3 linked regions of the Neurospora crassa OR74A genome follow. The protein of the gene in region 3 purifies or fractionates together with the protein of the main gene of each other region. This does not show direct contact. Links are inferred from orthologs where the notes say so. Each region holds a gene or a part of one and is shown on either strand. Other genes may lie near its edges.

Region 1 (3,600 bases), on a different chromosome or scaffold from region 3:
TGGCCACTTCATTGTCATTGTCGTGGCTGTACCGTGACAGAGTGTCGTAAACCTTCATTTGAGGGTTGCTGGGGCTGATAAGACCCATAGCCAGCGGCACCGCTCGTCGGATGTTAGCTTCGCCGTAGTGCATAAGGTGACCAAAATGGCGGAGAACCATTTCCTGTCCAACATCTTCGCCCATGGCAATCAAGCCAATACCCAGAACGGCATAGGCCTGAAGCAACTCCTCGCCCTTCTTCTCCTCTCCATCCTCAATGTGCTCGTTGCAAATGTGAAGGAGCTCCTGAATCTTGAGGACGGCACCGGTGCCAGCCCAGGCGCAAATCTCAGCAAGAACAGCAGTTGGCTTCGCCATAGGGTGCTCAACCGCCTTCAACGTCTCAAGAATAACGTCCACCTGTTCCTGGCGACCAAAATAGAGGAGACCCAAGCCAAGCGCAAGGAACCTGGACCATTTGTCATTGAGGCGGCTTCCACTTTCTTCGTCCAACAAGGTAGTCACGATGGCCTCGCTGACTTCGGAATTGGAGGAGCCGACAAAGATCATACCGCAGGCCAGGGCAGCCATAGCCGACACCTGCATGCTCTCCTCAGGGTCGCTGATAATGTTGACCAAGAACGAGAGAAGCTCCTCCTTGCAGGACCCTGCGTATGCCAGTCCGAGACCCATAATGGTAGCTACGCGGATGAGCGGGTTCTTGTGCGCAAGCTTGTCGGGATCAGCCAACAGGGCCATCGCGGGCTCGGAGTCCGTCCTAACGTTAGTATTCATGATACCGATCGCGAGGTATGCGCCAGCTTGGATTTGCTCCTCCTCGAGATAAGTATACTTGTCGACGTGGTCAAGACCGTTCTCGACGTCCCAAAGGAGCAGGGTTCCCAGCGACGCCACTGTAGACATCATACCCTCATCCTTGGTCTTCCACACCCAGCTGTCCTTGTCTTTACCAACGAGCATCATCTTGTCACTCCCAAAGCCGGCATTGACAAAAGCGTTGACGAAGCCGGCGGCAAGATTGTGTCGGGCAGAATCAAAGTTGGTCATACCAGCAACACGGCTGCTTTCGAGGTGGCTCTTGTAAATATCCTCAGTCGTTTTTGGCTCCAAGATGTTGAGTTCCTTCCCGAGCGACTTGAAATACTCCGACAGCTTCTGGTTGGAAAGGCACTCGTAGATCTTTTCGTCGTCATCATTGCTCCTTTCAAACTCCAATGGAATGCCCTGGCGCGCGATAAGGAAAGCGAGCTGCTTGCGAAGCGCAGGATCCTCGTCCGCCGCCTCGAAATCTTTCTCGATGAGTCCAAGATCGTTGAGTCTAATCGCAAGCACCATGGCTTGGGTGTGCTGGTTGTATTTCTTGTAGATGCTGTGCGCCACGCGAAGGAACGTCTCGTTGTCAGGATAGGTTAGGAGGTTGACCATGGAGACCATGTACAGGCAGACTCTCGAATAGGTGTTCTCGTCGAGAAACTTGGGAAGCTCCTCGATGATCTCGAGCTCACTCATCAGATCGACGGCATCGGCTTCAGCGTTGCTCTTGAGGAAGAGCGGCACCAGAACCAGGGCAAGATCGACCAGCTCTTGAGTCGGCTCATCATTGGCTATGCGCTTGGCGTAGACCTCGCCAATCTCGAGGGCGAGATGGCGAACGTACTCATGACCCCACGAGCCAATGTCCTGTGTTGGGGAAAGAAGTCTGTATTTCAGAGTATCCTGGCGGTCCTCGTCCGAGTATGTCATACCGATCACCGATAGAACATCTGCGAGAGATGACTTATCATCGCCAGCGGGCCACTCGTCGTAGAGTTTCGTCATGGTTTCATAATGCGGGCGCAGGAACTTGAGCGGCTTCGGTACCGCCGTCATGGAGGATGTGGATGTCTTGATAGAGTTCTTCATGGCCTCGAGGGCCGGCTTGTAGAGGGTCGCATCGGATTCCTGAAGACATTGTACTGTTAGAGAAGCCGGTCTTCAGCCTGTATCACGTCATTGCGAAGCACCAACCGTTAGCCGCTCAACGAGCATCTCAAGCTCGCTCTTGAGCTGCTGATCCTCTTCACTGAGTTCCTCGGAAGCTAACGCAAAGCGCTGTCAGCAGAAGCCCGGCGCCGATACCTCAAGTCGGTCGGAGTGGCCGAGAAACCCACCATTCTGTTCCTCCTCCTTCTTTCCGTTTGCGGGGGTCTTTCCATCGACATCTTGGTGCTTCTTCTCGTCATCGACGGCCTTTCCCTTGCCCTTATCGGCCGTCTTGGACAGGTCGCTTTCTTGCGCCATGATTACTGGCCGTGATGGTTGTAGGTGGGAGGATTCGCGGAGCCGATGGGTCCAGTTGGAGGGGAAACCAAGGTCGGTTGGGCTGGCCGGGGTAGGTGGACGCGGCGGTGGCGTTCGCTGCTGCAAGAAATGTTCAAGTTTTGTCACCGAGTTTGCTTGAGCGACAGGAACTTGAGCTCCAGTCGTGAGCAGAATGTCAAAATCAAAAGTGGATGAGCTGGCTGCGGTTGTTTGGAGGTTGTTATGTTGTTCAGGTGACGGTTTTGGAGGTTGGAGCTTTTGCAGGTTCGCCCAGAAGCACCTCAGTTGCTGAAAGCCAGCAAAGGTCAGTGGCAGTTACGGTACTAACGCCAGGGAGCTCCGATGGTGGTTACGCGACTCGCTTGCCGCCTGAAGCTCCCCCGTCTGGCTGAGAACGCCCCTGCGATCCAATGCTGCCCGCCTCAAGTGGGTCTGGAAGCCTCGGTGGGGACGAGGCGTCATCAGAGCCTGGAAGATACAAATTCCGCTCCCCCCAAGCTTCTGATAAGATAAGCTACTGGCCTGGACCTGGCGCTTGACCGGGCAGGCACAGCTCAGCGAATGGAGCCCACGGCCAGCCCTATCTTATCGGGAAGATGTTATCGCAACCGTGCATTTGGAATTTGGGGGACGCCCACTTTCCATTCTGGACATCAGCTTTGCGCTTCACCCACCTTGACTTTGACTTTGACGAGAGCGTCGTAGACAGCAACCTAATAGCTCTCTTGGATCAATACAACATCAGAAAATCTCTCACAGCAATTAGGCCGACAATCACCTGAGGGGAAAAAACAAAAAACATCCAAAAAGAAACACACAATCATGTTTTTGGACACCAGAGTTTTACGCCATCTCACGGCAGAAGACTGGAGAGTCTTGACTGCCGTTGAGATGGGCAGCAAGAACCACGAGCTCGTCCCGACCCCTCTGATCGAGAGAATTGCCCGTCTCAAGGGCGGTGCCAGTGGTGTTCACAAGAGCATAGCGACCCTTGCCAAGTCTGGCCTCATCGGACGCATGAAGGAGGCCAAGTACGACGGCTACCGACTGACCTACGGCGGTCTTGACTATCTGGCCCTACACACCCACTCCTCGAAAGATGTCGTCTACAGCGTTGGCAGTCGTGTGGGTGTTGGCAAGGAATCCGACATCATGATCGTAGCCGACAAGACCGGCAAGCAGAAGATTCTCAAGATCCATCGCCTAGGCCGCATTTCCTTCCGTACCGTCAAGTCCAACCGCGACTACTTGCGCAACCGGCAAGGCGGCTCATGGATGTATCTCTCGCGGCTTGCGGC
Region 2 (3,624 bases), on a different chromosome or scaffold from region 3:
ATCCTGGTGGCCGAAGAGTGTTTCAACGTAGGCGAGCTCGTCGAGCGACCAGACTTTTACTGTCCGGTCCTTGGAGGCAGAAAATATTTGGTTAGTGCCGCGGCGGAAGGCGAGCGAGGTAACGGCGTCGCGGTGCTGGGTGAAGGCCCGGAGGGGCTTGAGGGTCTCGGCGTCATGGACGACCATTCGCTTGTCGGCGCCGCCGGTGACAACAAACTTGCCGTCGGCAGAGGCCCTGACCGTCAGGATGGCCGCGTTGGTGTGTCCCTGGTATGTCTTGTCCTTTGCCTTGATCGGGTTCGCCCTGTTGAAGCACACTCTCTCGGGTTTCTTCTTGGGCGGCGCAGGCGGCTTCTTTGGCTTCTTCTTGGTCGTCTGTGGCCACTGGTTCTTGGGTAGGTCTTGTAGCTTCCACTTGGTAAGGTAGCCGTCTTTCGTGGTGGTGTAAGCGTACGGCGCGCAAACCGAGACTGATGTTACCGTTCCTGAATTCCATCGAAACTGTGTGTGTGCGGCCTTGTCAAAGTCGAGCTTGGAAGCCAACTGGCGGTAAACCTTGCCCTTGGCCTCGGCCACATCCTCCTGAAGACGCTCGGCCAGCAAATCACGGTCAATCTGCTCGGCGTCAAAGGCATACTCGTCCTCCAGTTCCACCTCTTGTCGTGCCTTGTCCAGATATCGCTGTGCCAATCTTAACCGCTTCTCAGCCGCCGTCTCTCCTTCGTGGTCCGACTCCTCTTCTCCTTCCGACCCGTCCTCTCTCTCAATGTGGTCGCCATCGTCACTGTCAATGTCGCTGCCGGATATCGACTCGTCGCGCTCAACGGCTTTCTTGGGGGCTGCGGGACGTGATTTGGCGGCAGGGCCTCTGACCGACGATGACTTGGCAGTCGATTTGCCAGTCGCAACTCGCTTCTGGGGGGCTTCGTTGGCAGAGGCACGCTTCCTCTTCTTTTCCCCAGCGGGTGCTGTGAAAAAGGACGACATGGTGTTGGCAATTGCGGCCCGGGGCGGTCGGTGCAAATGCACTGGAGTCGTCTGGTGGTAGAGAATGACACTGGAATGTGAATTGGGGTCGCGTTCGGCTTCACTTCAACGCTGCTGCATGGCTATCAAAGTTGAAATTTTTGGGATGGCCGTTCGCGCCTAGACACACCCGACCCGATGGACTTCGAAGAAAAAAAAAAGTTGCCCACCCTGCAGGCTTTCTATCGGTGGAGTAGCACGCCGATTCGTCAAGATCTCCTCCACTGGCTTGGCACAATTGAACGAGTCGGAGAAGGGAATCCCCGTGCCGTGCACTCTACCTTATTGCGTCACTAACAGATATAGGGGCTCTGTCACGCGGAACCGAGCTAGCGAGCTGTTAGTAGTCGGCTGGTGGGGAGGCTCTTGCTGTCTCCAAAAGACGTCCCCGGGCCATCCTGGCAGGTTTCATGACGGAGTGGGGCTGTCTCTCTCGCTGTCTGCTTGCCTGCCCAGTGGTTGCAGCTTTCAGCCCTTCTGGGGACTGGAATGGAAAGATGGAAGACGATAGCGGGCACCTGAACAGCCTGGCCCGTGCTTGTCTTGTCAGCTTGCAGGCTGAAGCTCCAGTGCGCGTTCCCCGTCGCCGTCAGTTCAAGCTCCAACTGCCCTGTCCCGCCATAGGTAGGTAACGACGAGAACCGTGCAAGCCAACGCAACTTGCCAAAGCTTACCAAAACAACAGCATATCATCCATTCACTCACATAACAATCAGCCAAAATGTACGTCGCATCGGTCATGTCTTGGAGAGGTGATATCAGAGCTGATCAGCATGTAGGGAGGTTTTACTAGGCATCACGGGCAAGGACTTTACCATCATTGCGGCGTCCAAGGCCGCTATGCGGGGAGCGACCATCCTGAAGGCATCCGACGACAAGACAAGGTCGCTGAACAAGCACACACTGATGGCATTCTCCGGTGAAGCTGGCGACACAGGTACGGCAGCGATATCGTGATGATGGCGCTTTTGAACCAAACCAAGTTAACCAACTGTTTGTTCCCATCGACAGTGCAGTTCGCCGAGTACACCCAAGCCAACGCCCAGCTCTACTCCATGCGCAACGGGACCGACCTTTCCCCTTCTGCCCTTGCCAACTTTGTCCGCGGCGAGCTTGCGACGAGCTTGCGCTCCCGCAAACCCTACAACGTAAACCTCCTTCTCGGAGGTGTCGACCCTATCACCCACAAGCCCAGCCTCTACTGGCTCGACTACCTTGCGTCGTTGGCGAAGGTCCCCTATGCCGCCCACGGCTACGCACAGTATGTGATCTCGACCGATATCTCTGTACCGTCTTTGATGCGTAGGAGTCATGTACAGAATCACTGACCGGTTCTTTCCTCATCAGATACTACTGCCTCTCGATTCTCGACAAGCACCACCACCCAGACATCACCCTCCACCAGGGTATCAAGCTTCTCAACCTGTGCACCGACGAGCTCAAGAGGAGGTTACCCATAGACTTCAAGGGCATGACGGTCAAGGCGGTAACGAAGGACGGCATCATCGATATCGAGTTCGACGACGACAAGGTGGTTAAGATGGCTTGATTTGTGGGGATGCTTGCTTACTTGCCTGCTTGCGGCTTGGGAAGCCTTGCGGGGGAAGGACAACTCTGTATAATAATACCCATACGACGGAAATGCATGAGTCCAGGTGGCCTCCACCAACGGGAGACCCCTGGCGAATTTGATGATCATAAAGAAAGAGAGAGGAAGAAACAAGGCTATCATGTTAGAGGTGTGAAGTCCGAGAGTCCGTCTCTGCGGCTCCCGGTTTCAGTGTGGCGTGTGGAGCGCGTCTGGGCCGATCATACACCCTGCCACCGACACCATCGCGATACGATACGTCAGGGTTGCTTCTTTTTGATCCTTTCTTCGAAACACTCCTCCAACCGGTCAGATATCGTTACGGCAGTTGAGGTTAAGGAACCTGTTTAACGTCCTCTGGCAATCATGGGCGAAAGTATTATAACATTGAAGCGCACACCGCACTCGGTTTCAATCGAGACAGAGGCTCGACGAGCACTTGAAGTCCGTAGAGGTATTGTGTACCTACCTGAAACCGACAAGCTGTAACATGAATCATGACTACTGGTAAACGTTGAAACAACTAGAAAGTATTTCACATTGTCAGGGAATTGTTGTACAGCCAAATGAGAAGAGCTCGAGCCAGTGAATGGTCAATTCCAATTTCATATGTTCAGTCGGCATCATTAAAAGCACACGCAGAGAAGACGCAGCAAAGGGACTTGAAGGAATGTGCTGAAGTGCATGTGTGTAGTACGAGCCATGTAGTGTATGATCGCTGGCTGACATGACGAGGCCCATTAACACTGAAAGCGGTGAGCGCTACAAGCGTGATGGTTGGTGACTGGTGATACCTTGGGACGACGTGGGGGAATTCAGGACGGAGCCTTTCTGCAAAACCTTCCAAGATAGTACACAACTGTCTCTCTGCAGCTGATACCTACCAACGTACATGTCACCAAAGCGGAGGGCATCAGCGGCCCGATTATGTATGTCGCTGTTGCAACTGTCATCCGAGTGTCTGCTGTCAACATCTGCAAAGGTTAGATAAAAGGTGCGGAGATCGGTGC
Region 3 (3,823 bases):
GGAGCAAGTCGTTTTGTGTCATTTGTCCTTACTAGAGACGAGTTAGGCCCTAACGACAATTTAATGTGATAGGTTGCTTTAGGCTCTATTCTCTTCTGATTTCTCTCCGCCTTTCATCCATCCACTCAATCCATGCCCTTGATCATTCATATCCCCTTCCCTTCTTCCCAAGGTAATCGCTAACGATAGCACAGCTCGCTTATACATCATTGACCTTCCCCTTGTTTCACTGCTAGCTTCTAACTCTCTTCAAGTTGGTTCTCTACTACGCCCTTTCGCTTCCCCTCAACCGAACAGCCTGTCCGTACTTCTGCAGCTTGGTAATCAGCTGGTCACCCTGGCGAACCACGTCCTGATACTGCTTGTTCTTGTCGTCGGGCCGGTTGGTCTCGATAACACCCTTGCCATTGACGCGGTCGATGGTGCAGGGAATACGGCCGGCGGCGATGAACTTTGCTAGGTCACTGTTTTTGTGATGTACGATCAGTATATATAGAACTTGTGTCGGGGGGAAGAGGGGTAGAACAAAAACAAGGGGAAAACCAACCGATCCAAGAAATCCACGGTAACACCAAAGTCGTTGGCCATGCTATCCAGTCCCACAACGCGATAGCTCTGCAGCAGTTGCTGGTACGCGCGCAGGCGCATCTCGCGGATGAACCAGTTCTTATGCTCGTGCAGGTAGCGGTCCTGGGTGAGGAATTGCTCCTCCACCAGGGCCAGCGCCTGGAAGAAGAGCTTGTACCGGCCGTTGTACAGGCTGCTAACCAGCTGCGCGAGCGGGTCAAAGTCGACCGCCATCTCCGCCTCAGGCTGTTCCGTGCTGCTGCCGAGCGTGGTCAGGTTAACTACAGCCGTCCGGGCCGCCACGGGGGCGTTATCGGCGTCCTGCATCGAGGCGTCGGCTCCCGGGCCGGCCGAGATGGCGCCGGTCAGTGCGAGCAGCTTGTCCTCTCCGTCGCCAAGAATCGCCTTGATCTCGGGGGCGTCCACGACCTTGGACTTGAAGTCGACGCGCTTGAGCGAGACGGAACCGGCGAGCACGGCGTAGACCACCAGGTTGCTGTAGGTGCAGAGTTCGTACGAGGTAAAGGTGGACAGACTGTCGAGGAGCAAGGGGGCGGCGCCGCTGTAGTTGCGCACGGTGAGCAAGTGCAGACCCTCGTAGGCCTTGAGGCGGTTGCGACGGTCCCAGTCGCCGCCCGATTCGACAAGCGACTTGGCGCGCTCGACAGTCTTCTGGACTAGCTGCTTGTCGCCAAAGAAGAGGCCGAGGCGGATTAAGGCGAGGACGAGATCGATCTTGGTACCTAGAATGCTCGTCTTCTCGAGCAGATCTTGGTGCGCGGCGATGGCTTTTTCCTGAATAGGAAGAGTGTATGCTTAGTATATGTCGGTTGGTGGGAGTGGATGGGTAGCTAAGTGAACTTGTAGTGACCAACCTTATCGCCAACTCGGGCCCAGAACTCGGCCCTCTTTCCCTTGGCAGCCTGGATCTCTGTGTCTCCCGCCTTCTCGACAGCCTCATCTTCCTCTTTTTGGAACTCCTCAAGCTCCTTCTCGTTCTCGGCCTGCAGCTGCTGGTACAGGTTCTCATCCCACGGTAGGCTTAAGCTTGTGGTGGGTTTGTGGGTCGCGATCATGCCGGCGGCGATGCTGCTCTTCCTACCCAACCTTCCGGCACCGGCAGTGTTGGAGCCGCCTTCCCCAACAGAGTTAAGGACACCCTCGGTAGGGTGCGCGAGGTATCGGTAAAAGGGCGCCATCTTGTGCTCGGTGATGGCATCTTGAAGGTTCTTAACGGCCGCTTGTTGGGCAGGGCGGGCGGCGTAGGGGTTTGTGAGGGTGAAGACATGCTGGGCGAGGGGCAGCAGAGGCCATTTCGCGTATTGAGGATCGGAGCCCATTTTGTAGTTGTGATGGGTGCTAGCTTACGAGCCAAGGAGGGAGATGGGAGAGGAGGATGCAAATGGAAGACGGTCCGGTGCTGGTCAGTGTCCGTCGTCTGGTAGAAGCACCCCGCTGGAAATCGGCAAGCAGCTGATGGAGGTGGATGCCGGCTTAAGATGGGAAGTTTCGCGGTGTTGAAAGCTCTTGGAAACTGGATCGCAATGTGTGACTTGGCCTGGCGCTGTGATTCTACCAAAGATGCCGGGTCGAGGTGAGGCTGGGTGGTGGTGATGTCTGTGGTTTAGTTGTGGTGCTCCTTGAATGGTTCGGAAGGTCGATAGAGTAGCTGACCTCACTGGAGAGTGACCAAGGCCCCCAGAGCTCGCGCGTCAGCACTGGAAAGTGGAGACAGAGCTTGGAAGGCGGGCCAGGCCTGCAAGTGGAGCCGCTGGAACAGTGCCCGGGCAGGCACACTTCATCGGCTCAAACACCGACCGACCCATGCTTGCATCCTCAAAACACTTGCATCCCGACTTCCTTTCCAATTGCTTTCTCTCCTCGACAACAACAACAACAACAACAATAACAAGAGCTTTCAACTTCGACATACCGAATTTCGAGTCCCAGAATTCACTTTCAGGATTTGCCTGTGTCTGTACTCGCATCAATCGATATCAACAGTCAAAATCACAACTCACACCACTCACCGTCGCATCAGTTATTCTGCTGTTACACGAAGCCTGTACGCTTGCCATAGTTGTTCTTGCCGATGATCAAGTCTCCTTGCGAGACCACACCAACAGTTTTTTCCAGAAATGTCAGGCTACGATGGTTACACCAGTTATAGGTCCACTCGCAAGAGGCAACGCTCAGAATCGCCCTACGACGACGACCGCAATGGCCGCAACGAAGACCGTCGATACAAGTCTGCGAGGCATGACGAAGATGAGGACGACAACGATGTCCTCCCACAGCCGTTTGATGCCCGCAAGTTAGCTCCGGCCAAGAGAACACAAACCCCCACTACCAGCGGCGAGCCTAGAAAGCAGAAGCGGCCTGGCCAACGTGCCCGCATCACGGAAGCCGAGCGCGAACAGATTCGTCAACGTCAGATGGAGCGCGAGCGCCAGGCTCAGCGGGAGGCAGAAGCGGCCGCCGAAGCTGAGCGCCGCAACGCGGTCAATGACGTCGTACGTGCCCATTACAATGCTGTGCCCGAGCGTGGCCGTGACTGGCGTAAGACGGACAGTCGCATCAAAGGTCTCCGCTCCTTCAACAACTGGGTCAAGAGCTGTATCATCCAGAAGTTTTCTCCTGACGAAGACCACTCGCCTGGCGCTCGTGAGCGGGGAATCAGTTCGAACAATCAGCTGTTGGTGCTCGACATTGGATGCGGCAAGGGCGGTGATTTGGGCAAATGGCAGCAGGCGCCACAGCCCGTAGAGCTCTATGTTGGGCTGGACCCAGCAGATGTCTCTATCGACCAGGCGCGCGATCGGTATCGAAGTATGGTGGCTCGTGGCGGTCATGGCGGCAGGGGTGGACGGGGTGGCTATAATAGGAGACAGCCGCCACTCTTTGAGGCGCGATTCCACGTCAAGGACTGCTATGGCGAGTCGATTGAGGACATTGACATTATCCGGCAGGTCGGGTTCGCGTCGTCCAACATTGGTGGCCCCAGCCATCGGGGCTTTGATGTGGTCAGCATGATGTTTTGCATGCACTACGCCTTTGAGACGGAGGCGAAGGCGCGGCAGATGCTGAAGAACGTGGCCGGTGCACTGAAGAAGGGTGGTCGGTTCATAGGATGTATCCCGAACTCGGACGTCATCAGCTCAAGAGTGGAAGAGTTCAACAAGCGATTGGCAGAGCAGCAGAAGGCCAAGGAGGATCAGGCTCAACCGAGTGTTGAGACCGACGGAAACACGCCCAA

The links.
Region 1: the proteins of rpn-7 (region 3) and rpn-1 purify together in Saccharomyces cerevisiae (affinity purification with mass spectrometry; 6 studies listed by BioGRID, with this or other methods). This does not show direct contact. The link is inferred for Neurospora crassa OR74A from reciprocal best matches to the Saccharomyces cerevisiae genes RPN7 and RPN1.
Region 2: the proteins of rpn-7 (region 3) and pcb-4 purify together in Saccharomyces cerevisiae (affinity purification with mass spectrometry; 4 studies listed by BioGRID). This does not show direct contact. The link is inferred for Neurospora crassa OR74A from reciprocal best matches to the Saccharomyces cerevisiae genes RPN7 and PRE1.

The regions. Positions count from the first base shown.
Region 1 is NC_026504.1:2,086,965-2,090,564, reverse strand, and holds the start of rpn-1 (26S proteasome regulatory subunit rpn1), read right to left. Parts: upstream 2,665-3,600; 5' UTR 2,282-2,664; coding exon 2,152-2,281; intron 2,080-2,151; coding exon 2,009-2,079; intron 1,943-2,008; coding exon 1-1,942. Other genes in the region: rbg-40 (serine/threonine-protein kinase RIO2), read left to right, coding at 3,125-3,600.
Region 2 is NC_026505.1:3,792,746-3,796,369, forward strand, and holds pcb-4 (proteasome component C11), read left to right. Parts: upstream 1-1,518; 5' UTR 1,519-1,747; coding exon 1,748-1,749; intron 1,750-1,805; coding exon 1,806-1,963; intron 1,964-2,037; coding exon 2,038-2,287; intron 2,288-2,373; coding exon 2,374-2,575; 3' UTR 2,576-3,012; downstream 3,013-3,624. Other genes in the region: NCU01367 (rRNA processing protein RRP9), read right to left, coding at 1-987. UniProt on the Saccharomyces cerevisiae protein: Non-catalytic component of the proteasome which degrades poly-ubiquitinated proteins in the cytoplasm and in the nucleus. It is essential for the regulated turnover of proteins and for the removal of misfolded proteins.
Region 3 is NC_026506.1:2,285,455-2,289,277, reverse strand, and holds the start of rpn-7 (proteasome regulatory particle), read right to left. Parts: upstream 2,264-3,823; 5' UTR 1,908-2,263; coding exon 1,443-1,907; intron 1,363-1,442; coding exon 548-1,362; intron 465-547; coding exon 266-464; 3' UTR 1-265. Other genes in the region: NCU03971 (mRNA cap guanine-N7 methyltransferase), read left to right, coding at 2,706-3,823. UniProt on the Saccharomyces cerevisiae protein: Component of the 19S cap proteasome complex which acts as a regulatory subunit of the 26S proteasome, involved in the ATP-dependent degradation of ubiquitinated proteins.